4 linked regions of the Yarrowia lipolytica genome follow. The protein of the gene in region 1 purifies or fractionates together with the protein of each later gene. This does not show direct contact. Links are inferred from orthologs where the notes say so. Each region holds a gene or a part of one and is shown on either strand. Other genes may lie near its edges. The genes, in order: YALI1_F24173g, YALI1_A06128g, YALI1_F39001g and YALI1_C29810g.

Region 1 (8,063 bases):
AATACATTAATATTACATATTCCTCGTGCGGACTCCAGTCTACTCCTTGCTAGACTTGGAGGAGCGTCTGTTCTTCTTGTCCTTGGACTTCTTGTTCTTCTTGGGAGACTTGATGGGTTCGGGCTCCTCTTCCTCCTCCTCCTCCTCATCTTCCTCCTCCTCCTCTTCCTCCTCAACGGCTTCCTCAACGGCCTCTTCCTCGGCCTCTTCCTCGGCCTCCTCGGCCAGGGCAGCGGCCGCCACGTTGACAGCCTTACTCTCAATGTACTTGTTCTTTCGGCTCTGGTAGTCGATCAGCTTCTTCCGGTACTCAATCTGGTAAGGTTCCTTCTCAGCGTCAGACAGCTTTCCCCAGAGTTCGGCCACCTCGTTGGCCATCTCCGAGTTCTGGAGAGGTGGCTCGCCTCGGGCCAGTCGAGCGGCTCGAATCTCGGCCCGCTTTTTGGTGGAGAAGGCCAGGAAGACGGTCATGGGCTTCTTGGGCATGTTGGGGTCCACCACACGCTTCTTCTTGATACGGCCGGTGGGGGTGAGCTCCACCTCATCTCGGAACCGCTTGCCGTTGGACAATTCCTCGCTGAGAGTGATGTCCACGTTGTCGGGGCTCCACTTTTCGACAAACGCCTTGGTTTCCTTGTTGTCGAGGCCCCGGGTGTGGGCGACACATTCGACCAGTCGCTGCCAGCTCTCAGTGGCCACAAGAGCGGCAACCTTTGCGCTCTCGGTGAGCTCCGAGGTGAGGAATTGCACCGTGGCGGCGTTATCGTGCAGGGTTTTTGTGTTAGTGATGTCGCTGGGCGTGTAGTAGATTTTTGATTTAGCCATGGTGTGGAGTTGACGAAGCAGTGACGCGTAGGTGGAAGAGTTGGGTCAACAACAACAGGGGGGATACAGTTTGACTAGTTGACGGGCTAAAGAATGCTGAAGAATGTGAAGCAAAGTTAGTTGGATGCGTGCTCAAACTAAAGTTTCGGGGGCATGGGGAAGGCTGGAAAGGGAGAGAGGGAGGAGGGGGGGGATTGGGCCAACACTTTCCAGGGCAGGTGATACGGTACATTGAACCAAGAGGGCAGGCGGTATTTCGCGAGTGTGCCCATGTGGTTTTTTTTCGGGCCCCACTGTCTATACAAGACCCTACCGTGGGTCACGCGACAGACCTGTTTATCTGCATCTTTCACGGCCCACCAACCATCAACGCGTCTCCCAACCGGCACCACCCACCAGCAGTAGAACTGTTCAAGCTATACCCTGCTCCACCAAAGCCACTGCGCGTAGGGCTCGTGTTTTGTGGGGCCTGGTAGGATCATGAAGCGACCCCTAAACTAACGGGGTGTGATTAGTGCCTGTAGACAGACGGAGCGGTGGTTTGTTTTGACACATTAGAGTTGCGTCAACAATCTTCAACTAACGGAGCCGGTATGACATGCGCCGTTTGGACCAATGAGAGCCCGGGCCCGTCTCTGTTGCAACCCTGATAAACAAAACAAGACAAGACATGTTAACAAGCCCGCCAAACAAACACGGCACAATGCCGAAATTGCCTCTCCATTAAGTACAAGTAATCTCGCAATAGGGGTCGAAGAGGATTGGGGGGAGGGTTGTGGGAAGGGGGGGTTTTTTGTACGAGCTGGAGCTGGAAAGAGCTACAAGTAGTAGACAAGTATGGCGTGCTCGTGAGACTTTATTAATGGCATACCTGATACGAGTGTCTATATGTCGGTATGAGTACGGCACGTAATTTCGTTTTTCAGCTCTTTAGTGTGGTGCGGAACCGATCCTACTCGTACAATAAGTACAGTATGTACTGTAGCCTTGGTCAGTTGTTTGTCTTCTCTTGTTTGTGCGGACCTCCACTTTGGTCCCAACAGATTCGGTTGTGTGAAGCGAGCCTTCCAATACCGACCATGGAATGATACGATGCAGAACAAAGGGGTCGGAAGTGTCGCGATTGATTGGAGAATGGAGAATGGAGAATGGAGAATGGAGAATGGGGACAACGGTTCGATATCGTGTCACAAGCTGATTTTCGACTCGCCACCAAATCACATTTTCAAGAGATATCCCAGGCCCACCTACAAGTACCTCAATCACCCGATGAGGGCAGATGATAGACTGACTCACAGGGGCGTGCATAATCGACACTCTCCGCGCTTATTATGTTGGAGAGATTTGAGCACTGTCCACGACGTTGCAAGAGGGATATTGACAGTGTAGTGGTTATTTGAGGTGATTGTGAGCATTGGAGGTGACGACATTGTCAAGTACTGTACAGGCTATTGTCTCATCAGGGAACTACAGTACATGTGTGTATGAGTACGAGTACGAGTACATTCTCATCGTGTATAGAATGTCCCTCTCCGGACACACGGCACGTCTGCACTGCACTATGACACAAGTCCGTGGAGTCATGTCGAGACCTGAGACGGTCTAAGAATAGACACTCAGTACGAGCGAGTAACGGGTGTATTTACCAATACATACTGTGCTCGTACTTGCTAACAACAAGTACGTGCGTAGGTTATAGAACTGTCACTTCAGAGTCATACTCATACTCATACTCGTAGCTACGACATCAGCCTGAAGCGCAACTCCACCGATCAAGCACGAGACTGGATAATCAGTGGATAATCAGATGGCTGGCCGAGACAACCATCCAGACCACTACACCTGTAACAGCCGATCTCTCACCAATAAACACACCATGTGCTACAATACTGCCTAACGTGTCATAGCCGCCCAACCCCTCAAACCATGCGTCGGGTTAGCTTCTTAGTTTGGGGTTACGTCACATGTTGGTCCCCCATCATCTCGGTCTCGAGCCAGCCATTTAAGCCCAAGTTTAGAGCTTTTCATGGCGCGTGATGGAGGGCAAATCGGGTGCCAATGACGACGGTTTTGGGCATTTCGGCCGACATATCCATCCACCAGTCCCCTTGATTGCCGCCTGTAATTGCTTGCTACGCCTGCTGCTGCTGCCTGGGTCATGGGACCACTGCCCACTTGTCAAAGCACAACGTGATATGGGACCCAAATTCTATCGTCAATAAGCCTTCAGTTGCGCCAGTTCCCCACAACCTCGTGCATGAGTTGCTGCTCTCCAAAGGTATATAAGGGGTCGTCATCAACCACTTCTCTCTTCCTTCTTCAGAAACTCTTCATCGCATGATGGAGCGATATCTTCTCCCTCCGGCCCCATGCCGGTTGTGATTCATCGGAACATTATCATCATGTGGATACTTCGGCATCATTCGGATCGTCATCATTACGGAATTATTACGGAACCATTACGGATACTACGGAAAACGGAAAAAGAAAACGGAAAAGAAAACGGAAAAAGAAAACGGAAAAATATCACAGTTCAATCACCCCAGCCCCAGAAATACTACGGAAACAAGACGGTAAAGAGCTGCTGAGCAGCCGCTAGTGCAGAAGATTTCGCAATTGACTATACAGCAAAGAGCCATAAAAGCCTGCAGCCCCGTGAGCTACAGAGCCAAGGCGCCACCGACCGACCCCGCCTCGAGCTCGTGTCTCGACGCACCATGAGAGAAGATTGAGCCCGTGCCTCGTCTTCAGAGCCCGTGTCTCGCAATAATTCCAGTATGAGCCCGTGTTCTCATATCGAGCCCGTGTTCTCGACTTTGGATTCCTGTGATGAGCCCGTGTTCTCATATTCGAGCCCGTGATCTCGACTCTTTCCTATGAGCCCGTGTTCTCATGGCGAGCCCGTGTTCTCGCATCGTCCCTAGTGAGCTCGTGTTCTCACTTCGAGCTCGTGTTCTCGAATTTGTCCGCTAGATGAGCTCGTGTTCTCATCGCGAGCCCGTGTTCTCGCCTTCTACAGTATGAGCCCGTGATCTCATATCAAGCTCGTGTTCTTGACTTTGACGAGCTCGTGTCTCGTCTCGAGCCCGTGTTCTCGAAGTATGGAGTGGACCGGACGGAAAGTTGATGGATTAAGTTGGATACGCGCAGTGCAACCTGATCCTTTGGATCATGGTGAAGATGGAACCGCAACCGAGGCCGCCGAAAGAGCCAGAGCAAAAGTTAGTGCCGATGACCCTTGGAGCAAGACCCGTGGAAATCTCACAGAGGGATTATAAGAGCCGTTGCCTGTCGGATTACATAGTATTTTGGAGGACGTAGGCTGGAACGCCGAACCTCCGGGGCTAATACGATTGGACTATTCAGTCCCATCCCCATAATTTTTGACCCGTAGTGTGTTACTGTAATTGTAGATGAATCTGTGAAGTATTCGATACTTTAGAATGGTACAGAAGTGCTGCACATTTGACTATCACGATGTACAAGTGTACTTGCGGAATGTTCTACCCGTTCTGGTGGTGTACTTGTGCTGTAGTTTGATATTATCAAAAGGTTTGCCTCGGTTCTTTCAGGCAGGATATACCCGTACATACGGTACAACGTAGCATAAATAATTGTCTATATACCTTACAGGTCGTCAAAGGTAGGCAGATCGACCTTGCGCTTCTTGCTCTTCTTGACCATGTCCTTCCAGTCGTTAACAACCTCCTTGGACTCCTCCTGCTTGAGATCTTTGGCCTCCTCAAAGTCCCGCTTGATTTTCTCGTTGATACGTGTCTGCTTCTTCTGGTGACGCTCAGACTTCTCCTCCTTCTTCTGAAGCGTGGAGGACCAGGCTCGGTTGGCCTTCTGGACGTCGTTCTTGGTCTTGTGGATCTTGACCTTGTTCTTCATGGCTTCCTTGTGTGCCTCCAGCTCCTTGAGTCGGGCCTCCTCCTTGGCGGGGTTCTTGTACGAGTATGTGTCGAAGTCAATCACCTCGCCCAGCCATGTGTTTTCAGGTCTCTCGTTGTCCTTGGTTCGCAGCTCAGGCATCTTAGGCAGACGCAACAGGCCGTAAGAGGCTGCCAGCCCAGGCAGATCCAGTGACTGGATTCGGAAAATGGACTGGGCAACATGCTTGGAGTAGAACCGGACAAAGGACACAAACGAAAGAAGAGCCTGGTCATGGCGTTGTCTGTCTTCGAGCACCCACTTTCTCAGCTTGGTGTACAGTTCCGTAGCCTCCTGATCCAGTTTCTCTCCTTCCAGCTCCGACCCAGGTCCGGTGTATGGTCGCAGCTTCACCTTTCGGACTCTCATGAGGTCCACGTATTCCTCCTCTCGTCCCTTATGCAAAAGTACAATAGCCTGGCCCTGTCTTCCAGCTCGACCGGCTCGTCCACATCGATGCTGGAAGGTGTCAGCATCAGAAGGAGGATCAAGCTGGACAACAAGATCAACCTCGGGAATATCAAGACCTCTGGCAGCGATATCTGTAGTCATCAAGATGGCTTGCGCTCCAGTCTTTTGGTACTTGTTGAGAATCTTGATTCGAGTAGATGATGGCAGCTTTCCATGAAGACCGTAGATCTCATAGGGTTCTTCCCTGCCCTCGTTGAGATGTGAAAACATTTGCTGGTAGTATGTCACAGCTGCACATGTGGGCAAGTAAACAATGGCCTTTCTGTAGGGGTAGATACTGAGCAAATTGAGAGCGTAGGCCAGCTTCTCGCGAGGCTCCAGAACAACGTAAGAGAGACCCAGCGAAAGCGGGGTCTTCTGTTCCTTCTTACCGCCAACCTTGACGACAATCTTGACGGGATTTCGTAGACCAATTTTGACCAGGTTCTGGATGGCGTCTGTGATTGTAGCAGAGAAAAGTCCTGTTCTTCGCTGTTTGGGGAGAATGTTGATGATGGATGTAATGTCTCGTCCAAAGCCGAGGTCGAGAAGCCGGTCGGCCTCGTCCAGGACCAGAGAGTCAAATGCGGATGTCTTGATTTGGGGAGCACGCAGCAGCTCGAGCAATCGGCCAGGAGTGGCAACAATGATCTGAGGCTTGTCTCTAAGGAAGTTCTTCAGATCCATATGAGATGGAAGATCTCCACCCATGATCAGCTGGCCTCGGATCTTCTTGGGCATGGTGGGGGCGGCCTTTCCCTTCTTCTTCTTCTCCAGGGTGATTTTGTCGCTAGCATCGGCTTCAGGACATCCCATCTCCAGAATGGACTGCAGCACTTCATATGTCTGTCGGGCAAGTTCCCGGGTAGGAGAGACGACCACAGAGTAGACTCGGCCAGAAACAGCCGGTCCTTCCTTCAGCAGATTCAGCATTCGCTGGATCAGAGGAACTAGGAAGGCAATGGTCTTTCCTGAGCCAGTGACTGCCTCGACAATCACGTCCTTGTTTCCTGCAAACATGGGGATGACTGAAGCTTGGACAGGGGTCATATCGGTGAATCCGAACTGCTCCATGGTGTCGATCAGCCATGGCGCAACGGGCAAGTCTTTCCAGTCGGTAGACATTATGTTTTGTGTTGTGTGAGTGTGCTTGGTCTTTTTTTTCTCACCGCCAAATTATTTCCATTAGCCTCGTACTCTGTGCAGCTTACATGCAGGCCGACACTCCCAACTTAGTGATGAAAAATTCCCAGCTCGAATCTTGTCATGGCTCTGATAGCTGCACTAAAACGGCTGATTTCCGCTCCGAAAGCGACACGACAGCTAAAGTTCACGCCACACCAAGTTTCCAGAATGGCCGAGTATCAGAAATGGACTCGAGCGGACCTCATCAATCGCATTTTCGAGCTGGAGGGCAAGGACCCTAGTACCGCCCAGGGAGCCGTGCCAGACCCGCCGGTCAAGGCCTCCAAGGCCAAGCGAAACGAGAGCTACGACATTAGTCGGCACCCCGTTCGAAAAATCGCGATCCGCTTTTCCTATCTCGGCTGGAATTATGGAGGTTTGGCTGTCCAGCATGAAGACACCCCTCTGCCCACTATCGAAGGAACCATTCTGTCTGCCATGCAACGGTGCAGACTGATCCCCGAGTCGGCCAGTCTATTCGATCTCGACTTTAGCAGATGCGGAAGGACAGACCGAGGCGTGTCCGCCTTCTCTCAGGTCATTGCTCTTAAGGTGCGATCCAAGCTGTCTCCCGAGGAGCAGCAGGACGCCGCTAACGACAACAAGGAGCTCAACTACATTCACATTCTAAACCAGCTGCTGCCACCAGATATCCGAATCTACTCTGTGGCTCTCAGACTGCCCGAGGGATTCGACTCCAGATTCTCTTGTGAATACCGGCACTATAGATACTTTTTCCACAAGGGCGATCTGGACATTGATCTAATGAGACAGGCTGCCAAACTGTACCTGGGTGAACACGACTACAGAAACTTCTGCAAGGTGGATGGATCCAAGCAGTTGGCACACCACAACCGAGTCATGTTAGAGGCCGAGATCGAGCAGCTCTCGGACGACATCTACTACTTCAACCTCAAGGGACGAGCCTTCCTGTGGCACCAGGTTCGATGCATGATGGCTATTCTCTTCCTGGTGGGCCAGAAACTCGAGAAACCAAGCGTGATAACCGATCTGCTGAACCCCGAAAAGTATCCTGGACGCCCCGTGTACGACATGGCTCACGATGTTCCTCTGGTTCTTTATGACTGTACATTCAAGGAGCCCATCGAATGGATCACTCCCAACGCCATGCCCCAGGAGCGAATGGAAAACTCCAATTTCAAGCACTGGCACGACGTCATGCTCCAGAGCACCCTCAGTCTAGCTATGATGAAGCACATTGCTGAGCGAACTGGAAGCGAACGGACTTTCCCCCGTGCTGAAGACGGCGACAGCGACAGAGTGGCGGTGGTCAACGGCTCTGGAAGCTTCTCTCGGAAGATCCCCTACGTTCCCATCAGTAAGCGAAAGATGCTTGACACTCCCGATGTGACTAATGAAAAGTGGAGAAAGCGAAAGGAGGCTACACAATAAACCCCATCCATCATCGTCACCATCAACATAATCTAATAATGAAGCATTTTTAAATATATAATTTATACAATAGTGAGATACACGTCCTTCTGGTCCTGTCTAAAAGTAGCCAACAGCATGCATCAGAGGCAGCTTGGGATGCTGCTCCTGCCACGAGTCCATGATACCCATGATTTGTGCGTCGAGGTCTTTGCTGTCAGCTAGACTCCGGGCCAGCTTCAAGATGCCTTGGGCTCCAATCACAGAGTCCTCATGGT
Region 2 (7,598 bases), on another chromosome or scaffold:
GAAGGCGGAGAATGCTCATACTTGGCCGAGTGCTCGTTTCCAGGTCGGTTTGCTTGCAAATCGTTCACTAGTAGCTGGTCAAACTGCACTGCCTCTGAGTTGGCCGGGACTGCCGCCAGAGCCGATGAAATGAGGGTCGTCACTAACAGGGAGAGTTTCATGGCAGGTTGATGAAGGAGAGTGTGCTTTTCCTGGGCGCTTCGGCCTGTATAAAGAGTGTACACGGGGCGTGCAACAAGTCATGATTGCTCTTCGGAAACGGAAAGTGTATTCCCAAACGGGAATTTTGGATATCCTACAACAGGGCGAAAAAAGGAGGAAAAGTGCATGGAAACACGAAAAATCAGATCCAGTCGGCGGTGAGAATTGATTGCACCTGAAAGATTTCCTGTGGCCCCAAAACTGGTCGTATTCAGCCTTGCGCGGACCAACATGGATAATGCTACTCATGCATATCAAAAGGCGGATGCAGATCAGTGTAGAGAAACGTGGGCCTTTGGGGACTTGACCAGGTTGCAGGTATATTTACGCCGTTCTTGAGTCCGGGCGAGCAGTCGGGATAGTTCATTTTTGCGGTTTATTGACCCCTGGAACGTGTCCAAATCTCGTATATCTGTCCGACCCCAAAACGCGCATGTCCCAAAACAGACACGGCTTCCAAATTGGGACTAATGAACTTTCAAGGCAGTGTTTCACGTTGCGTCATAAATGGTGGGTAAATGATGGGCGGGATGAGAGATGGGATCAGTCATTTTGATCAAGGCGGTAGCAAGACTTGCTCCTGTTTTTTATTGTCATTGGAGTAGCCGTTCTACAAGGTATTCGTGCTTGTAAAAGTACAGTGGTTCCCACGCGTACTATGTTCGGTGTGCTAGTCGAGGTTCACAACGAGAGACTCATGGCTTGGAGAAGGAGCAAATTCTGAGGCACAAGTACTTGTACTCGTAAAAGACAACCAGTTTGGGTCACGTGAATAGCAGCTCGAATAGATGCCTTCAGCTCGACATTCCCAGCCCTCTTTGGTCGGCATGATTGAGCTGGCTAAATCCACTGTGTATGGCAAGAGTTGAGAGGTCCAGAATGAAGAGAAAGAAAACGCACAAGTCGACGCACAAGTCGACGCACAAGTCGACGCACAAGTCGACGCACAAGTCGACGCACAAGTCGACGCACAAGTCGACGCACAAGTCGACAGCATTCTGAATTCATTCAATGTTAGAGATTGCACGCTGAATCGTACTGTACTGTACTTGTACAAGTACTAGTAGGCAATTTCGCTTCTCCTTCCTGCTTGTCTCCATCGGTGTGCAGTATGTACTGATAAGAGCTTTCTCAAACAGCTGTTGGAAGCCCGTGAGGCTGACGCGGCTTCTCCTTCTCTTTCAGGAATGTGTGAGCCAGGTCATGTTGAGTCCTTCAAACACGGCAGTTGTCCTCCTATCCCCTGAGATTTTCTGGAGCGGGAAAGCCTTCGGGTCATACAACTGACAGTCTGGCAGCTGTTTGATCATCAGAGCGATCCTAACAACTAAAGTTGTGGTAGTTTAGTACTTGTGTTGTACTTGCACTTGTACTTGCACTTGTACTGGTACTTCGCTAGCATCAATCTGCCCAGAGGCACAGTCTTGTGCTCTACTGTGCTCTGCCCTACTCGTAGTTTTCATGAGACTACAGTATTGCCTATCTCCTCCGTCCATGTGACCGCTCCCTCATTCCAGTATATAAACAAAAGTCTGTCCACCTTCTACTCTACCACACAAAATGAAAGATACCAAGCCCGTGAACAACGAAAATTACGACCCGAACGGCGATGAATCGAACCACAACGATACCCCAACGATTCGTCACCGAAAAACCCCGCTCAAGGAAGACAGCTGGCCCCTCTCAGGATCCGCCCAAGGAAGACAGAAGCCCACTGCTCTCAAGGCTTCCAAACCGCCTTCAAGTACAGACAGAAAGATACCCTCCCCTACCGACGAAGAGATCGCCGAGGCCTGGGCTGCTCATCCGGGCATTCCCCCCGCCGAAGTCAGTATCAAGATCATGCAATACGACGATTCGGAGCCATCTGAAATCTGCGAGGAAGACTTTTCTCTGGATTCACAGTGGCTGTCTATGGAGATTGATCGAATCATGAGAGAGCAGACCGATGATGACATTCCCACTTGTAGCTTTCAGAAAAACACAAACTTGGGTGATGCCTATTCTGCCGATACCAGTCTGTTGTTCTGACTCCAGTCGTGGCCTTGAGATGGACATGTCCAACATCAGCAAAGAGCTTGCCAGACTCAAGACAGAGGAGAACAGGGACAAGGAGAAAAAGTCATTCAGCAGTGAGGGCTCTTTGGAACTGAGTCTCTTGACATCCTTGTGTACTTCCACCCCATACAAGACTAGACCCTAGAGGACAGTCAGGAATTGGGCATGAGCATGAGGAATGAGATGGCTATATAATGGAGATAATAAGGATACTTAGCTTGTTGAAGCATGTAGAACGTGACAAATATTGGAGCAGTGGTAATAGGAATGGAGAGCCATCTTTCACGATATGGTCTAGAGAGGTAGAGCGTCTCCAGAACTCCTATAACCACTTGGAATGAAGAAATTGAATGGTAAAAAGAACGAAAACGCCATAACTGGACATTTGAAGACCTCCCCAAACGGTTTGACACAAAATCTCCCGGACTAAGGCCTTTTTGAGAGTCACAGAAACCCCCACCATCATCAACGTGATATCAAACAAGGTTTGTGCAGTTACCATGGAAACGGCAATTAATATGTGGAGGGAGTGTAGGAGGGAGGTGATCTCAATTCCAGGATATGGACTCAATTTGATGAGGGAAAAACGGAAATACAATAATTTAAGTTGGAAAAACCATGATATCCACTCATTTTTCGCCTTATTACAATTAAATGGCGATTTACAGACGTCCCCACAACCACTCCTCCATCTCCAACAACTCGTCTGCATGAAACCTTAACCGTAAACAATTTTTTGACAAGATTATTTTGCATAGGCCAGAAGCCTTACTACACCACACAACACCCACAAAAATGGCCACCTTGCTGCCTCCTCCCTCGAAAAAACAAAAGCGACTCGCACAGGAGCCCAAGGATCTAGATCTGATCCCCGAGGACCTGCCCAATGTGCTGGTTCGATTCCAGGCGTCGGACACTGGCGAAAACACTGGTGGATCGGTGCGAGTTCCTGGAGCCGCCACCGAAAAGCAGCTGGAGATGCTTCTGAACCAGCTCCAGGAGACCAACGATGACCCCACGCCTTACACTTTCTCTGTGATCAAGGGAGAAGGCGACGAACAGACGCTGATTGACATTACCGACAACATTTGGGCATCGATTCTCAAACCCGGACACAAGAGTACAGAAGACCAGCTGACGATTGTGTACACCCCACGTGCTGTTTTCAAAGTCAAGAACATCACCCGATCGACCGCCGCCATTCCTGGTCACGGCAGCACTATTCTGACCACCCAGTTTGCACCCCACACTTCGTCTCGAATGGTTTCGGGCTCAGGCGACTTCACTGCACGAATCTGGGACTGCGACACTCAGACCCCCATGCACACTCTCAAGGGCCACTCTAACTGGGTTTTGTGCGTGGCCTGGTCTCCCGATGGTAAGATGATCGCTACTGGATCCATGGATAACACCATTTGCATCTGGGACGCTGTAAAGGGCACCCAGATTGGAAAGCCCCTCAAGGGACACACCAAGTGGATCACAGGCATGTCGTGGGAGCCTCTGCACAAGGTGAAGGAGGGTCACGTGCCCCGACTGGCCTCGTCATCAAAGGATGGCACTGTACGAATCTGGGACATTGGAGCCGGCACCTACCTGCGAACCATGGCCGGTCATAGAAGCGCCGTCACCTGCGTCAAGTGGGGAGGAATCGGTTTCCTCTATTCTGCTTCTCATGACAAGACCGTGAAGGTGTGGGATCCCGAATCTGGCCGTCTCCAGCACAACCTGACGGCCCATGGTCACTGGGTCAACCACATTGCGCTGTCGACCGACTACGCCCTTCGAACCGGAGGCTTTGACCACGACACCACACGAAAAGACTTCAAGGCCAGCGACACTGAGCTGCGAACCAAGGCGCTCGAGAAGTTCAACAAACTGGCCAACACCTCTGGACGCATCTCCGAGCGAATGGTGACCGCCTCCGACGACTTCACCATGTTCCTGTGGGAGCCCGAAAAGAGCACAAAGCCTCTTTGCCGAATGACCGGCCATCAGAAGGCCGTTAACCACGTCACATTTTCTCCTGACGGCCGATATCTGGCTTCTGCCTCGTTCGATAACTCCATCAAGCTGTGGGACGGAAGAGACGGCAAGTTTGTCACCACGTTTAGAGGACATGTGGCCTCCGTGTACCAGTGCGCCTGGTCGTCCGACTGCAGACTCATGGTCTCGTGCTCTAAGGACACCACTCTCAAGGTGTGGGATGTGCGAACTAAGAAGTTGTTGTCGGATCTGCCTGGCCACGCTGACGAGGTGTTTGCTGTCGACTGGTCCGTCGACGGAAACAAGGTGGCTTCTGGTGGAAAGGACAAGATGATTAGATTGTGGTCTCATTGATCTATATTTATATGCATTGTAATAGACGGTAGAATGGTTTCGTACACATCCATGTGAAGTGGACATGGGTGGTAGAGAGCGTGATGAAGAGCAGTATCGAGGGCTGTAAGGGAAGAGTAGACGACCTGAAGATACTGCAAAGGTGTCTCAGGAAGATATGGATCCAGGCTAGCTTGAACACCAGCAGTAGGAATGGAAGAATGGAAGAATGGAAGAATGGGAGAATGGGAGAATGACATTATCATACTGAATGGGCCTGCTTCCTAGTTGAGTAGGAATAATCAAACAGAAAAAAGACTTTAGCTGGATGGTCTCAATGATACTGCGTACAGTAGTTTTTCTCTCTTCAGCCTGGTAGGTCATCCATATCCATCATCCCCCTTTTCTCTTGTTTGGTCGCACGCCCAAATCGAACTCACGACCGCCAAATCACCATCCCCCAAAGTCTAAATGGTGATGTGAAATTTTCAGTTTTGAGGGAGAGATCAGGACACAACCTCCAACACAACCCGCTGAAACATGTTCCGAACGACATCAGCCCGAATCGAGGCCGCGTGTCGGCCGCTGGCACAGACACAGATGCGATTTAAGTCGCAACTGCACCGGCTCAAGCACCCCCAGCACATTGCCCAGCTGGTCCAGAAGCGAAAGATCACCGCTCTTGATCCCTTCTCCAAGCAGGTTCTGGAGCGAAACAAGGATGCAGTTGCCAATGCGTTCCCCGACGCCGCTTCTTTCGACGTGGCTGCTCTCGCGCCCCAGCGTCTGGCTCTAAAGTCCGAGGGAGGAGCCGCCGTGGCTCCCAAGACCAACAAGTCCGGCTACGGCTTTGGTACCGACGGATGGTACCACGTTGGCCGAACCGCTCTCAACCACATTGCCGTCCACTCGTGGAAGAACTCCACCAAGGTCAAGACGGAGATCTCCAAGATCACCGGAAGCGCCGTGCTTCTGAAACGAGACCTGTGCAAGGCTCTCGACCTGCACAAGTCGGACGTGGTTATCGCACCCAGCGGTCGAAAGATCTACGTTCGAGGCAACATGGTCCCCGAGGTTCGAACCTGGCTCGAGGCCAAGTTCTAGCATGTACATATTATCTAAAATTGTTTTATTGGACTGAGGAGAGAGATGAAGGTGTAGCGTGAGAAACGGTTGGACAAGCACAAGTGGAAGTGTCAGTGTTGTTATCATCAGTGTGCACACAACTATACTTATCACGAGGGTGTACAGTAGTTGGGGTTTCATCCATCTGAGCAATAGATTGAGAGGGATATTCACCTGTCAGCTACTGTACATACTGTACAAGTACAAGTTGACAGACGACTGACCATAATCAGTATCCAAGGTTGAGTATGTGAACGAAACGCCGTTATGTACTTGTACTTGCTGATACCATGATAGTCATTTTATGATTATTTACAGAGTTACCTGTTCAAAAACCAATTAGGAATGTTTTCAAATAGATTCTTAGCAGTGACACCTTGCCTTGCAAGCCGATCTGCCTGCTTGTTTCCTTCACTAGAACCATGGGCCTCTACCTTTTTCAAACCAATGCAATTGGTGCTTTCAGCCTTCAATGTCAGGATACGCTTGATCACGTCCTGGTTAGCCACTGGTTCCCCGCCCCGGTTCCGCCAGCCGTTTCGTTCCCACGCAATGTGCCACTTGGTGAGACAGTCGATGGCATAGCTTGAGTCGGTGTAAATCTCGTAAAGTCGGCCATCTGAGAGCTTAGATGCGCAAATGCAATACGCGTGAAGAATTGCCGTTAGCTCAGCTCTCTGGTTGGTCTGAGGCGACCCATAAACACGCCCGGAGAGGTTTTCCTTATGGTTCTCTCCGAGATAGAGTCCAAACCCAGCAACAGCGTCTTTCTGTCCGTTCCTAGAGCACGCGCCGTCAGTGAAAATCTGATTGATAATGTCTCCATCTGAGTTGGAATAGTGTAGACCTCGTTGTTCTGGAGGAAAGACGAGAGCATAGTCAGTTTCTTCTTCCACATACCCAATAGCTTCTTCGAGGCTCAGAAATGACTCAATGGGTAGAAATTTCTGAGCAGCACTTCTCATGGCCTCTCGTTCCTGGTCGAAGATGAGGTTTTCGCAAACAAAGAACATCTGGCCGCCGTTTTTCTGGGAATTAGCAGCCTGGATCTTCTTCTGGGCCACCCGTAAGTCCAGCTCTGCCTCTTGCAACTGGTTCTGGGCCGCTTCCAAGTCTCTCTGGGCCGCTTCCAAGTCTCTCTGGGTCACTTCCAAGTTCTTCAAGGCGGCTTCCAAGGCGTCAGTTTTCACAGCGACATTGATTTTGAACAGGTGGATATCAGCCGTGGTGTCCTGTACAAGTTGAACTAGCATCCGAGTCGAAAGTCCAGCATCGCCTATCCAGGACATGTACTCCTGCGCCTTGTCGTAGTCATCGAAGCCCTTCCATTCTGCCCCTGGAAACCTTTCCGTCTGTTTGTCGCACTCAGCAAAGGAGTTGTAAATGCCGGGCTTGCGTCCAGCTTTCACAGCATAGTACTTTTTGGCCATTGCGAGAGAGCGTGTGTGATACGGTGCGCAAATGTTGTCTTGCGAATCTCGTCCCGTTACTGTCGCCGGTCACCCAGTGTTTCTCTAGGCGCCCACCGTCAGTAAAATTTCACACCGCAAAATAAATTCGTGAAGCTTGAAACATGCAGTGTGCGCGAAACTCCAACATGACTTAATCTCTTCATCACAACTCTTCCACAAGTGGTGAGAAGATACCTAGGTGACGACTTCTGCTCTACAAGTAGATGACGAAGGTTCATTCTGTTGCTTCAGATCAACTTCGCCATGAGACTGTGCAACTACTTGTAGCGAGGTTTGCAGCAACTGAAGATGTTCTCATCTAGCATCTTGCTGGGGACCCCGATGGCCATCTGATACGATCGTTTCTTCGACAATGACACTGGGAGAAGTCTTCTAACTGTCCCTTGTTTCAACTCAGATCTGAAATGACGTTGTCTCAACACT
Region 3 (6,942 bases), about 1.5 Mb from region 1:
AGGAAGACGAGGAAGAAGAAGAGGAGGAGGAGGAAGAAGAGGAGGAAGAAGAGGAGGATCCCCTCGAGAAGGCCATTGCTGAGCGAGGCATTGAGAACCTCAAGATGGACAAGTTGGGTAACTACATTTTGGATTAATTGCATGTGGTGGGGGTAAATCAAGGAGAGGCGGGAATCGACGCCACTCCTAGGTAATAATATAAACAGTACATTATTGAATAGAAGCAAGTGTTGCAATAAAAAAAATTGGCTGCTATGCCTGGTTCCTGTCTTGTACCGCACTTCTCACAGGAAATGACACCATATATGTATGCTGCGTGATGGGCGTTATTTTATTCCGTGCAGCAAGCCAGCAAAGAGGAGAAAGCTATTTGAGAACTCTGAAACAGACTTGTTGGCAGGATAGAGTCTTGGGGTCTCCTGATAAGGTCTCGAGTCGGTAGTCCTAAAAATGTTCGCTGTGTCAGAGTCTCGTGTCAGCTGGTGCCACCCGCCCCACTTCAGTCCATACAGTTACAGCTCGGTTACACAAGCGAGCTGATTAACTTTGCGATTTTCATTTTCCGAAAGGTACAGCAGGCACATTCCAGCGGGTGTGTGCACCACGCACTATAATCCGTCTAAGTCTAATTTGGATATTCACTCCACCCACCTCACTACACATCACCAAGGAGATTATTAGTCTGCCTTTTTCTAAAGACCGACTTTTTAAAAAACCACCCATCTCAAGCGACCGCAGCCATGATCTACAAAATTCTGGAATCCTTGCCGGCCGAGGCTGTTCAGAACGGCACCGTCAACCCCGAAACCGTGCTGCCTGGCGTGCCCCTTGATATCCAGGACGGCTTCATCCACCTTAGCACCAAGGCTCAGCTGCTGGAGACGCTCAACAAGTACTTCAACAAGCACGACCGCGTTTATCTGCTGGCGATTGACATTCCCGACACTCCCGGCGCCCCATTAACCGAGGGTGCCGTGGGTTGCAAGCCCGGATGTCGACTACAGTGGGACTTTGTGCGATCGCGAAACGAAAAGTTTGCGCACATCTACGGACACCTCACCAATGGAGACATTTCCGAAATCAAGGAGCTGGAACGAGGCCCCGACGGCTGGAGCTTGTGGTAACCCCGCATGCCACGTATAGAAGTATCGTATTTATTGTGCTGCATGAATATATTGTTGAAAAGAGGGCCTGATGGGTGTCGGGCGGAGGACAGCCGTGTGTAACGCGTAGCCGCTCATTTATTGTATCTGCGCCTGTCTTTGTATACCAAGTTACGGACCTCGTAGTCGTGCCCATGTCGTGTAGCGTGAAGTACTGTTAGCGTGTATCAGAACATAGAGCAGTTGGCTTACTCTTTATTTCTGTTCACGCTTATCGCTGTTGGTACCTGTACTTTAAAGCATTACAGTACAATTGCAAGTGTGCTTTATTATATGAATGTATTAAAGATTAGCTACATGCTGTAGTTTTTGAACGACTCTGACATGGGTCTAGCTGTTGCGTCAGGTCGTGTGACAGAGAGAAGGTGTCCAACTGTATATCATCTCCAGTATATATACACCGCTTAGAACCCCTTCACCCCCTAACTCTGCTCCTCCTCGTATTCCTCCTCATCAGACTCGTCGTCAGGAAGAGCAAAGGGATCGGCCTCCTCCTCGTCGGAATCCTGCTGCCATCCACCGACCTTCTTGAACTCGGCGGGCCAGTAGGGCATTTTTCGCCATGTGCGATCGTCCACCACGATCTCGATGATATCACCGGCAATCTTGTCATCGGGAGTCACGTCAACAACAACAAAGCCACCCCGCTTGACCCACACGGTCTGTCTGAACTTGGGTGGCATCTCAACCTGGACCTCTGGGCTCTTGAACCCGTGGCTCTTGTAGAAGTCTTGAGGCAGAGTCACCTCGTATATGTTGCTGCCCTTGGCCTGGGCGACCTTGGCGATGGTCTGGTTCTCCTTCAGCTCATCCAGTGGCGTTCCAACGGCGGCCAACGATTTCTTGCTCATGGTCGAAAGTTTTTGAGGTTGATAATGGACAGCACCGCGCCTTGCATAAAAGGTGTCGAATAAATTTGAGCTAACCCACATGGAAAATGACTACAAATTAGATATGCACAAATTACTGTACAAGGAAATACAGCGTAAAACTACAATATTTTCCTCCCATAGTTATTCTATTGAAACGTGTCTAATGATTGATTAATATGTTCCGAGACATCTAAGCGGAAATGAAGGGCTTAACCTCCTCCTTCTCAGAGTCGTAGTAGGCCACAGTGTGGACCTTGAAGAAAGAGCTGGTGACGCCAAAGTGCTTGAGCAAACGGGTCTGTCGAGAATCCAGAGTCTGGCCAGTCTTGCAGACCTCGTAGGGGGCGAACAGCTCCACCTTTCCGGCCTTGAGCTGAGTGGGCATACCCAGAGATCGGAGAGTGGGCTCCATAGAATGCACAACGGGAACATCGTCCTCAGCGGGGATCTTACCTCCGGTGGTATGGACAACGCCGGCGGGGATTGTGAAAGTAACGGTAGAGACCTGGCCGGCTCGTGCATAGTCCTCCCGAACGAAAGACTCAAAGTAATCCTTGACGACCTGGGGCTCCTCGTCGGTCAGCAGAAGACCAACATCTCCAGACATGTACTCAGACAGTGCGCCGAGTCCAGCCTTGTACTCATCCTCCTCAGACTTGCCGAGAGCCTTGGCCATGATCTTGGTTCGGCCAAAGAATATTCTGCTGCCCTTCCAGTCCGCTCTGAGATCCTTGAAAAAGGTGTTTCGCATGCCCTCTACTGAGAAGACAAAGCAGTACTTGTGTTCGTCGAGGTAGTTGTGGATCTCGTCGACGATCACCTCCTTGTCCTCCCGGGTCTTCTTCTCGACCTTGGTGAGAGCGATGACCTTGTTTCTCTTTGACTTGGGCATTGTGATGTATGCTGTGTGGTTAGAAGATGGATGGGAAGTCCTGCCAAAATATCTGCACTAGCTGCAAATATTTTTTTGGCTTTGCATGAGGGCAGAAAAATTAGCTTTGATACTCCTCTATCGAAACCACATCCAAAATCAAAACACCCAATATGCAGTCTGTGTAAGTGGCCACTCAATTATTGTACCATTCGCCACCCAAAAACATGTCTATTTCGACCCAGGATCTGCTGGAGTTCCATAAGAAACATCTAGGCGAGTTTCAGGGCACAATCAAGTTTGATGAGGCAGGTCAAGACGAGGACACTGAGCCCTCCCTGGGCTTCTATCCTGATGGAGTTGAACGGACTCTGACGGACGAGCAGATCGAGTTTTTCCGTCAATCCGACATTCGAAAGGAGGAATTGCGCATCTACAAGGAGAATCTGGTATTACAGGGAGCAGAGTCACAGGCAGAAGCTCACGCGGAAGCTCAAGCAAAAGCAGAGACAAACATACAAGCACTGGATCCAACCTCACAACAAAGACAGATAGAAGTGGCAAATGATGAGGAGGGTATGAATGAAGGACCAGGCAATTCTACAATGAGTTGATTCATCCAGCATCGAGCCCCCGGAACCAGTTTAGATTGCACCTCATCCATCATCTCCACACACACACACACACACACACACACACACACACAAACGATCCATAGCTAACATTTATTACAAGTATGCAATCATATACGATTATGTTTTTATATACTGAAGGGTATGTGAGTTGTTTCCAGGGAGACCGGATTTAAATGCAGTAGTATCGGTCGCCAAAGTCTCCGAGACCGGGCTGGATCCACTTGTTCTCGTCAAGACCGTCGTCAATGACACCAGTGATGATCTGGACGTTGGGGAACTTCTCAGCGAAAGCAGCAATACCCTCGGGAGATGCAATGAGGTTAAGGAAGAGAATTCGCTCCTGGGGGACGCCTCGGGCAATGAGAACCTCGACGGCCATCATGGCAGAACCTCCAGTGGCAAGCATGGGATCCAGGAGGAAGACGAATCGGCTAGAGATGTCCTCGGGCAGCTTGTCGTAGAATAGAGAGGGCTGGGCGGTCTCCTCGTCTCGCTGAATGAGAATCTTACCGATTCGCACGGACCGGCAGCAGTCTCGAAGGCCCTGCTCCATGGACTCGCCAGCTCGCATAATGGAGACTCCGCAAATCTTTCCCTCAAATGCAAGACCCTTGAACTCAGCGCCGGTTGGCGTCTTAACGAGCTTATCGGTCACGGGCAGCTGGTTGAGACCCTCCTCGACAAGCAGACGGATGATTCGGTCGGAGTAGAAGATGAAGTCCGACCGAGAGGTGTTCTTGTCCCGGATGATGGAGTAGAGACCAAGAAGCTGCCGGGTCTGTGGAAGCACGTTGACGTTGGAGGGAATGGGCGAGGAAGACATTGTGTGTGTGTAGTGACGGAAGGTAGAAACGGAAAGTAGGGTCGCTTTTCTGGAACCAAAATATATATATTAGGGTTCAATTGACACGCATAAAAATTTGACCCATCTCGACCCACTCCTGCATACCTCAAGTCTTATCTCGGCACTGCCGTGGATGTTCCGAAACACTGAAAACACATAAACATACATGCCCGTGCTTGGGTGATTATTGAACGGGTTGGAATAAGGCTTCGAGGAGTCCATTCTAATTCCCCTCTTTGAGAGAGTCGCGTGCAGTTCTCCCACCCTTTAGAGTGTGGTCGTAATTGGCTTATCATACACTATCGCAGCTAATACCAATACTTGACCCATGCCCCCCGCTTGGAGCTGCCAGTAGCGGGTGTTGATTTTAGTGCGAGACTAGAATGAGAAACAGGTGCAGAAAAGGCGGCAGTTACCAACAACCTGAATAGATCGGTTTGCCCCTCACGGCTATTTTTCCCTCCCTTGGACGAGCTCTAATCGTCGATAAGGATAAGCGTTTCGAGGCCGTGTGTTAACATGGCTTGATATGAGTGGAGAGACACAACCGTCTTATGAGCTGATAAGAGTAAATCCTATAGAGCTAAACCCGGTCACGCTTTCTTTCCGAGATACCCATGTTCATGGCAATATGTATATATGTATGCTTGTTTGTATCGGATGTGTATACACTGGAGTCGTCGTCTATTAAATATTTTATTGACACTGGAGAGAGGGAATTATGTCAAGCACAACGCTTATGTAGGTACTCTTATCTAGTCTATGGTTGTTGGGGTTTTCGTCTAGCTGAACCCTCCTCGTCATGAGCAGAGGCAGCCTGCTCAGCGGCCTGCTGCTTGGCCATGTCAGGATGGTCCTCGACATGGTGAGCATGGTCGTGGAAATGCGTCTTTTGACTCTTAGACTTCTTGGACTTGGGCTTAGGCTTGGCCTTGGCCTTGGCCTTGGCCTTGGCCTTCTCGTTATGCTTGGCTTCGCCTTTCTTTGCATTGTCCTTAGCCTTCTTCTGGGCCGTGTCAGCATGGTCTTGATGATGCTTTTCCGAGTCAGCTGCTCCCTCAGCATCCATGTCGTTGGCCACATCCTCGGCTTTATCCTTGTGTTCCCGCTTCATGCTGCCTGAGCCAGAGCCAGAGCCAGAGCCGGAACCCTGCTGGTTGAAGAAGCCAAAGTAATCAATGTAATCAAGGAAGGTTGAGGCCTTCTCTTCACTACCAGTATGATCAAAAGGGTCCTCGTAAGTAACGTTGTTCACATCCAAGTGCTCAGCATTATTGTGGCCATGAAGAACGCCTCTAGAGGTAAGGCCCTCCAGAATATGCTCTCGCTCCTCGTCAGAGAAGGTCTGAATCCATCGATCCACCTCGGCCCGCATGATTCGATGCAGCTTGGTGTGTGCAAGAGCAGGATGATGGAATGTTTGGAGTGCCTCATCCACAACAGTCTGAGGATCAATAGAGGGATCCTCCCAGGCTTCTACCACAAAGGGAACGACGTATTTGACCACCTCTGCAGCCACGAGGCCAGCAGGCTCGTTTAGGTATGCTGCAAAATGGTCCTTAGACAGTCGAGAATGAGTGGGATCGGTGGACTTTGAGTTAATCCATACGTCAATCTGATCATCGTGGTATGACAGCAGAGTGACAGATGCATGTAGAATCTCAGTGACTGCCTCCAAGATGGGATTAATGATTGGGTTGATGATTGAGTTAGTGAATGAGGAAAGAGCGTCGGAAATAGAAGATGCCATCATGCCGAGCGCTGTAGAAGAATCGGAGTCGCCAAAGAAAGACTCCAGGGAAGACATGACGGAGTCCTTGAACTCCAATAGAGGGTACACTGCTCGGATCACTGCGTCGACATCCAGGTTGTCGAGATACGACTCTAACGAGGTGTAGTTGGGATCGTTGTTGTGCACCTTCGAAATGTTGGTTCCCCCAGGGGTGTTCTTAAAAGGAGGTTGGTCCACGAGAACCAAAGGATGCTGTCCTTGCTGTGCATTTCCGCCACTGCCTCCAGTGCGAGACTTCTTCTTGGTATCGCCACAGTCCTTGCAGTCCTCATCGTTCCCATCATGCTCTCGCTGGTGCACCACATACTCCTCCACATTGTGCTGTAACTCGTCCAGGTGGTCAGCTAGGTCTGCTCCTGTCATGTCTCTGAATCCCCCATGGGCATCAGGAATGTCGGGCAGCTTGATAGGCAGCTTTCGGAGGATGCTCTTGAGAAACTCCGAAGTGTTGGAGCCGGACTTCTTCTTCTTCTCAAAATTGGCAGAAGCCTCTGTGAATCCACTCTCCGACAGCGAATCGTGAGCACCTCCCAGCAAAGAGTGCAGGAAGTCCAGTCCTCCAAATGTTCCAGTCACCACAGGGAACACCTTCTTTCCAGCCAGCTTGATACGCGTCTGGTTTCCAACGTGGGCATACACATCCTTATAGCCCATATCTCTCAGCACCAGCTCCAGGTAGTTTGTGTGTGCCGTGAAGTCCTCAAGGGTGTGCAGGGCGCTACCCAGCAGTCGTAACGACTCGTGCTGCAGGCTGTGTTTCTTGTA
Region 4 (7,556 bases), on another chromosome or scaffold:
AAAGCTGAGGCATGGGGGTCGACAGAACGGTCGGAACATTCCAGACATTTCCGAAATGCCACTGTTCATTCCGCCGCTCTTTCTCTGTTACTGTGAGGATGGTATGTACCTCAGGACAGCACCAGTCAACCGATGTGAGACAACCGAGTGAGCTACGACTACCAGTAGTAATAGAAAGAGCCACAGTTGGGCAAGTCAAAGTAAAAGGATCGGTAGTCCACTGTAATCCCTCTATTCTTAGAGTACTGTACGCACCTTTCTTACAGCCTTTCGGTACCCATACCAAGCTACTCTGTTGTAGATGATCAGATGCACAGTACAAGTAGACATGATGATGAACTGATGAAAGATCTGGGAGTGGCATGAAAAGCCTTCCTACAGCAGAAAACACCTTGTTGATGGAGTTTCCCGGCTCTTTGACTCAAAAGTTTGCCTTGTAGTCGTAGTCCGCTTACAGGTTGGAGACGCAACATGGAAAAAAAGGAAAAAAAGAAAAAAAGAAAAAAAAAAGAAAAAAAGAAAAAAAAAGAAAAAATGGAAAAAAAAAAATAAGTGAAAACTCGAGGGAAAAGAAATTGCAGCACCCAGGATTCTCGTATGGTCTCCCACTACAATACTAACTAGGCTCTCTGGTGCTTGACTATGGCTGATCGGACGGGAAGCCGTATTTTCACCAGGATATGGCCGCAACTGACGGTTTGCGGTGTTGAACGGATAAGGCGGGACGAAAATGTCACGTGGAGACCCCAAAAATGGCAAAAATGGCGAAAGGTTGCTGAATAAGATGGTATTTTCATCTGCAGATTGGTGCTGAGTTCTCAAAATGCTTGTAGAGACTCTTCTATAGAGTATCCTTTCCATGTCTGGGATTAATTCCAGTGCGAAAAGCCCTACATGTCACGATTCCATCAAGAAAACCAGGACAGTTGGAAATCTTGTCGTCTTCCGCAGCTTCGAAGTGGATTCTTGGTCTGCTATAGTTCAAATATCGGGTCGTCTGGAAGTTGAGTCTTGGTATGAGCTTCCTTGATAAGTCTTATACTGATTGTTGTATTTGTAACAACCCCCGGTCTATCTTGATTTCCATGTTACCATATGTGGTACACCAGTCTCAGTCAGATAATCGAGATTTCGTACATCCTGAACGAGGGAACTGCATCTGTTACCAACTCCAACCTCAACCTGGGCAGGTATGTTACCATCATCAATTGACTGGAAGGTCTGGGACTGGAACCGGCAACTACTCAACGTCCGGGTCTGCCTTTCCCCTTGACCATGTCATCTCACGACCTGGACTCGGACCGTTCGGAGACTTCTGCTACACTCTCGGTTAATAGAAGGAGCTCTTTCAATGGAATGAACCTGTAATGTTCCTGTTAGTACTGTCTCCTTGTCTGCGGAGAGTCTGCGACAATCTCACCTTGCTCAGTAAGCACTTCAAATCATCTGACGGCACATCTGTCGGCACATCTGTCGGCACACCTGTCTCACACCAGGCCAATGATGGGAAGCAATTCGTTCCAGAAACAGAAGTACAACCATGTATCATGCATTTGCGAGAGTGCAATCTGCAACCATACTCGTCTGCATTGTTGCTCCATCTTATGCCTTCACTGTTTCCCTTCATATGAATGTTGTCAGTTGGGCTCGCTCATAGTCATGATCGATCTCCCTCTACGCGTCTTCGAATCAAGTTAGTGTAAGGAAAGTAACTATCTTACAGTTAGTCAAACGACAATCTACTTACAGTATACAGCGCTAGGACTACAAGTACTACAAGTACTTTTGCACTCAGTTGCAGGTACTCTACACACTCGGTTATTGCTATTGTGCATTTTAATTTTTTAAATTTCCAACAAGAGAAACCGCTTAAAGGTCCTTCTTGAGAGTGCCCATGAAAGCAGTCTTCTCGGCAGGGGTCTGGAATCGGCCCTTTCCGAACTTGGAGGCAGTGTCGATCCACTTGAGCTGGGTCTTCTCGAGGTCTCGTCGAGAGGTGTGCAGCCACATGGACTTTCGCAGAGTGATGACTCGCTTCTTGACACCGGGGATGGAACCCTTGAGGATGAGGAAGTCGTTGTTGACCTCACCGTATCGGACGAAACCACCCATGGGGGTGATGGTCTTGGGGGTTCGGTCGAACTCGGTGGAGCCGTTGGACTCGTCACCGCCCTTGCCAACTCGGTAAACCTTGTGGTTGGCGGAGGTTCGGTGGTGGTAACCGTCCTGACCGGATCGAGCCACGGTGTACTGGACGTTGGCAGGGTGCCAGGCACCAATACAGGCGACCTTTCGCAGACCTCGGTGGGTCTTTCGGGGCAGCTTCTTGGTTCCCCATCGGTGGGTGGTACCCTCGTATCCCTTACCCTTGGTGATGGCAATGGCGTCAATCATCTCGTCCTGCTCGAAAACAGTGTCGATGGTGACGGTCTTCTCAAAGTGCTGCTGGGCCCACTCGACCTTGTCGGCAACGGAGCCACCGTTGATCTGGATCTCAGCAAGGTGAGCCTTCTTCTGCTTAAGAGGAGTCAGCTTGGGCTGGGTGTGAGCAAGAACTCGCACAACGGTGCAGTACTTCTTGATTCGCTCGAGCTCCTTCTGGACCTGGGCGGCGTCACCCTCGTACTGCTTAGCGTACTTGGTGAAGGCAGTCTTCTTGGACTTGTACCAGTTCTTGTAGAATCGTCGTCGGACCTCCTCGGACAGGTGCTCGGCCCAGACGGTGGTCAGGGATCGAAGACCTCGGGGAGTGGCAACGTAACCAACAACACCGACAACAACCATGGGGGGAGTGTCAACGACGGTGGCAGCCTCGACAATCTCTCGCTTGTCCATCTTGGAGCCTCGTCGGTCGAGGTCTCGGACAATGGTGGTCATACCGGCCTTGTAACCAAGGAAGGCGGTCAGAGCAACAGGCTTGGACTTGTCATCCTTGGGGAAAGACTTGGCCTTTCCTCGAGACTTGGTGCATCGCTTTCGGGGGAGGAAACCCAGGTGACCGTGTCGGGGCTGTTCGTACTTTCGGTGGGACATTTTGAGATAGTGAGGAACGAAAGATGTGTGCAGAGTTTTTGACCGGTGGAAATCTACTGCAAAATTTAGAGTTCGAGACCAGCGTGTGACTGTTTTTACCGATTGGGATGTGTCATGTGATCAAAGCTAAAATGGGGACTGACTAGTTGGGTGACTCAAACAGGAGCAATAGTTATGCTGAGACGGTGAAAGTTAGAGGAATATTTTATGACCACAGGATGAAGCTACTGTAAAAATAACTAGCAATTTTGGATAATATTCAGCAAGTTTCAGTGAGGGTGTGAATAGATCTCCAATTTGGGTTGAATTTAAGGTTATTATTTATGTAGTCCAGTTGGGAGTTCGATTTACGACAGATTTTCGCAATATTAATAAGGAAAAATTCATGGAAAATCAGCAAGAATGAAAACGGGCCCGAAACAGCATATATTTTGAAAAACCGGATAAAAATAACAGAACGGTTGCTGTTCCAAAGGACTTGCAGCTTGATAAACATCATTCAGCTGGCGTTTAAGTCTTCTTGATAGCACCCTCAGTTGTATGGCACTATAAACTTTTGGCTCTGGAATGGGGGCAATTTAATATCGATTTTGCAGCAATTATTAGGGAAAATACGGGAAAAAATACTCAGAGATACAGAGATATAATTATGAGAATTGTGGCTAAAAACAATCCCTAGAATTATGACAGAAATACAATGCATTTACATTGTCTGAAATTGCAGAGAAGGGCTCTTCTAAACCTCTCCTTACCTTAGTTGCCCATGTTCTGATTTTTTCCCCTGTTTTTCCGTATTTTTCATGTACAATTTTTTCATGCAATGCAACTTAGCTCACAACCAGTACATGACAAAAGTGAAGAACAATATACAAGTACAGGGAGGAGGATATCTCTTGCAAATCAGGAATAGCTGCATATACAGATCATTGCCCCTACAGAACATCTGTCAGCTACAATACTGCAAGTATCCTAGGGTTCTGAGTCTGAGTAGGAAGGGTCAAAAGTACATATTGTACTATAGAACTATAGCGTCGTTGATATTGATGAACATGTCGATCTACCGACTCGTACCAGAAAACTTGCTCCATATATCTCTGTGTACAAGTACAAGTACAGTACATAGCATTATCTCCGTGGTGTATCCTAACACCAAGTGTTGACAAACTGCCTGCCGTCTCCGACTTCAGTGTGTCCTCACTGATCTTTAACAGAATCCTCTAGCTGTAAGTTGCAGATGTCGTTCTGATATCATGGTCCAATCTTCCACAAAAATCGTGTAGGAGAAGTGACGAGAGTCTTGTGAAATAGGACTATGAGCTCGTTTCTGCAATTCAAGTTGTTGGCGTCATTATTCACATCCTGATCGGACTCTCTGGGCCGGCTTCCTTCAACTAAACACTAAGTATTTCGAGTGGAAGAAAATTTTCAAAAATTGGGATATCAGAGGAAATGTCAGATTTTATGGAGTTTTTTTGTATTCCGTACTGAAATGACCATCAAGTACTACAACTTGGCGAACTTCCCATCTCTCCACCATCACTGAAGGACTGATGTTGAACAGCTAGTTGTCATTTATCTTAACAGAAGTCCAACTAATGTTTGTCTTGACTAAGGACAGACTCAAGCGGGTGTCAGGAAGGAGAGAGACGGTCTTATAAAGTCATAATCGTTGATTTTACGGATTGGTGAATGTGTACAAGTAATATTGATGTTGATGTAAGATAATTGTAGCCCAGGTACAGTATGTACCAGTATTCTCACATATCACCCTGATTTAGCTGTCATAGAGACAGAGCAAAGACAGGTGAATCGTGTGGGAAATTGTACAAGTACAAATAGGATCTTTCGCAAGTTCTAGCTCCGTACAAGTACTACTTGTAGCGTCCCTGTATTTTATTTGATTTATCCGAGTTCAATTGACTGTCGAAAGAAAAAATAAAAAAACCTAGATCTGTAACCTCGACTGACTCTTCGCAACATGGTGACATCATAGACTGAGAAGTGTTCCTGAGCTAACAGACGGTTTATGCAGTATTAATCTAACAGTAACTTGAGATTAATCTGATGGTGGTTGTGTTGGCCGTGTTGCGTGGTTGTGGTCATACAGACCCTTGACTCATGTACATTCAAAACATACGGTACAATAGGAGCTGAAGAGATGTGAACGTCAGGTTGCAAACCAGCTCTACCTACCCTGCTCATACTGTAGCAACCCCTGATAATGTCTAGCGCTTGACAACCACCCTCATCGTAAATCACTCTAAAGCCACACGATTCAAATCAACGGTACTTGTAATATGCTTAACGTACTTGGATGTACCTGTACAGCGTTTCCCGATTGAGCAATGTCATTGATATTTCGGGAGAAGGAACGTTGATGATCCGAGGGACATGTGACCCATGAGGCTGCCAACTAATCGTGTACCCATCATGGTGCGGTGTAGACTAGTGGCGTACACTTTTCTCTGTCGGTGCTGGGACGAGCAGTGGTGACCAGTATCATGACATCACTACAATATGACATCTATAGCTTGTGCATGTTTTTCATCAGTTGGAAAACTCACTCGACCACTCGTTGCTCGGTCAACTGACCCGCTTCTTCGGGATATACCTCGGGGATTAGCATTCCTATTCTCAATCTTTGCTAGTAGCAAGCCAACCTTGTGGAGTAGCTGGATGGTGGTGGAGACTTGCACAAAAACAGAGAAATGGGTGGCACGTTAGAAACAGACGCCTGCGGTTGTAAAACCGCTCCAGTTTATCCCATTCATTTCCCTCAAACAGTCTCGGATACCCTCTCGGCAAAGTTGTCGTATTTCTGCACAGGATATTAACCATGGGGTTCGGGTAACTGCTTCTGTCGACTCTGTCGAGCCCAAAGCGGACGTTGGATTCCGCCTCGCACTTTACTTAGACTTCACTCAATCCGTGGTTAGTATCCAATACAGTTGATGAGACATTTTCCCGTGCCAGAAGCTAGCCGGCTGCAAATACGATGGTTGGTGCTACTGTATAGTGTCTTTTTATGTTTGCGTGTTTTAGTGTCGCCGGCCAGTCGGGGGCAGAGGGCCGGAAAAAAGAGCTCTTTGTGCTACCAAACGGCTAATTGGTCCTGCCTCTCTCTGCTATCAGTCCATCAGCCCTGCCATTGTTTTTTCGGTGGTGATAGAGGCACGTGACCGCACCTAATGGTGCGCTTCTGGGCTGCGTGCTTAGGTCCAGTCATGCAGGTGACGTCAGTGAGGCTTTTTCGGGGTTAGGGACTAGGAGGTGTTGTAGCACGCGGATTGGTCTGAGAGGCAGGAAATCGACTCTTCTGACAACGGGCTATCGATTGCAAAAAGTCCGACAGGAATTGGGGTCCCACAAGGTCGGTTATATCGAGTCTGTAAAAACCTCATTCCTTGGCAAGGTGCTTAGCAATCTAACCTTATATAAGACAATGGCGGCCTACTGGGGAGGAAGATGGTAGTGTCCAAAAAAAGCCGGTAAATAGGGGGGAAAATCATGGACACTTTGGACAACTACAACCACCTTTTTCCGACCTTTGCCCAGTCCATATTTCAACCGCCTATTTGGGACAGTTGCGCCGTCGACCGATTGAGGAAGTCACAGACATGGAGCCAAAGAGCCATTGAGTTAGCAAGACAATGCTGATTGTTTAACTTTGAGGTGGAGGAGTGACGAGAAACGAGAGTCGGTATAAGTCGAAAAGTAGCCCAGGTTTCCAGCAATATTCCACCATATCTGCACTCTCCACGTCTCAAGGATCTCATCAATACCAATAACTCCCCATTAGGCCGCTTTCACCCCCCCTCAACTCCCCCTCCCATTACCTCCCACACTTGCTTGCTAAACAACTATATATCTCGTGGGACCTGCCTTGACAAGCTCCGCACCTACAAACAACATGCCTGCCCAACATACGGTCCATGCTGCGACCGCTGCTGCCGCGGCTCTTGGCTCGCCCAAACGCCAGGACCGCCACAATGCCTCTGGAGTGCCCGAGGAGGTCTCTGCCGCCTACCAGGACTGGGAAACGTCCCACGGCAAGGCGCCCCCCGCCGGTTCTCGAATCGAGACTCGAGACGCCGTCTACGTTGTCGAACAGGAGCCCCCGCGGGCCCATCGACGTCAGCTGAGCGGCGGATCCGGCTCACAGAGAGTGTCTCCCGCTGGCAACGCCATTTCCAGCCACGTGCACAACGACTTTTCCGCCATTGACAGAAAGATTGCTTCTTCTCTGAGCCGTTCCGGCTCTAGACGAAGCCAGGGATCCGCCGGCCGAACCGAAAAGGTCGAGTATACCCCTGTTCCCACCCCAGGATATCCTGGAGTGCCAGTCAGCTATGCTAATTGTGAGTATTTGAGAAAAGAGAGAGAGAGAGAGAAACAGAGAGAGAGAGAGGGAGAGAGAAAGATGCTAAAGCGACGTCTAGACAAGTTGTGGAGCCTTGAGATGACTAATTTCGACCCTTGAACGGTCTAGTTTCGTCATGCGCCGATAATGTGCCTCTAGCGCT

What was found.
Region 2: the proteins of YALI1_F24173g (region 1) and YALI1_A06128g purify together in Saccharomyces cerevisiae (affinity purification with mass spectrometry, with the first as the bait; 3 studies listed by BioGRID). This does not show direct contact. The link is inferred for Yarrowia lipolytica from reciprocal best matches to the Saccharomyces cerevisiae genes SPB4 and RSA4.
Region 3: the proteins of YALI1_F24173g (region 1) and YALI1_F39001g purify together in Saccharomyces cerevisiae (affinity purification with mass spectrometry, with the first as the bait; 3 studies listed by BioGRID). This does not show direct contact. The link is inferred for Yarrowia lipolytica from reciprocal best matches to the Saccharomyces cerevisiae genes SPB4 and MRT4.
Region 4: the proteins of YALI1_F24173g (region 1) and YALI1_C29810g purify together in Saccharomyces cerevisiae (affinity purification with mass spectrometry, with the first as the bait; 4 studies listed by BioGRID). This does not show direct contact. The link is inferred for Yarrowia lipolytica from reciprocal best matches to the Saccharomyces cerevisiae genes SPB4 and RPL3.

The regions. Positions count from the first base shown.
Region 1 is NC_090775.1:2,415,582-2,423,644, reverse strand, and holds YALI1_F24173g (uncharacterized protein), read right to left. Parts: upstream 6,334-8,063; coding exon 4,453-6,333; downstream 1-4,452. Other genes in the region: YALI1_F24228g (uncharacterized protein), read right to left, coding at 40-825; YALI1_F24197g (uncharacterized protein), read left to right, coding at 3,718-3,789, 3,870-4,103; YALI1_F24171g (uncharacterized protein), read left to right, coding at 6,475-7,806; YALI1_F24151g (uncharacterized protein), read right to left, coding at 7,906-8,063. UniProt on the Saccharomyces cerevisiae protein: ATP-binding RNA helicase involved in the biogenesis of 60S ribosomal subunits. Binds 90S pre-ribosomal particles and dissociates from pre-60S ribosomal particles after processing of 27SB pre-rRNA.
Region 2 is NC_090770.1:609,839-617,436, forward strand, and holds YALI1_A06128g (uncharacterized protein), read left to right. Parts: upstream 1-3,054; coding exon 3,055-4,599; downstream 4,600-7,598. Other genes in the region: YALI1_A06099g (uncharacterized protein), read right to left, coding at 1-161; YALI1_A06102g (uncharacterized protein), read right to left, coding at 240-402, 447-568; YALI1_A06104g (uncharacterized protein), read left to right, coding at 635-715, 770-925; YALI1_A06116g (uncharacterized protein), read left to right, coding at 1,762-2,232; YALI1_A06149g (uncharacterized protein), read left to right, coding at 5,119-5,682; YALI1_A06169g (uncharacterized protein), read right to left, coding at 6,024-7,133; YALI1_A06174g (uncharacterized protein), read right to left, coding at 7,433-7,596. UniProt on the Saccharomyces cerevisiae protein: Involved in ribosome biogenesis. Required for processing and efficient intra-nuclear transport of pre-60S ribosomal subunits.
Region 3 is NC_090775.1:3,896,086-3,903,027, reverse strand, and holds YALI1_F39001g (mRNA turnover protein MRT4), read right to left. Parts: upstream 2,928-6,942; coding exon 2,226-2,927; downstream 1-2,225. Other genes in the region: YALI1_F39041g (uncharacterized protein), read left to right, coding at 1-137; YALI1_F39022g (uncharacterized protein), read left to right, coding at 741-1,124; YALI1_F39009g (uncharacterized protein), read right to left, coding at 1,586-2,095; YALI1_F38998g (uncharacterized protein), read left to right, coding at 3,134-3,520; YALI1_F38986g (uncharacterized protein), read right to left, coding at 3,711-4,364; YALI1_F38954g (uncharacterized protein), read right to left, coding at 5,146-6,942. UniProt on the Saccharomyces cerevisiae protein: Component of the ribosome assembly machinery. Nuclear paralog of the ribosomal protein P0, it binds pre-60S subunits at an early stage of assembly in the nucleolus, and is replaced by P0 in cytoplasmic pre-60S subunits and mature 80S ribosomes.
Region 4 is NC_090772.1:2,976,548-2,984,103, reverse strand, and holds YALI1_C29810g (60S ribosomal protein uL3), read right to left. Parts: upstream 3,034-7,556; coding exon 1,870-3,033; downstream 1-1,869. Other genes in the region: YALI1_C29837g (uncharacterized protein), read right to left, coding at 1-364; YALI1_C29762g (uncharacterized protein), read left to right, coding at 6,944-7,391. UniProt on the Saccharomyces cerevisiae protein: Component of the ribosome, a large ribonucleoprotein complex responsible for the synthesis of proteins in the cell.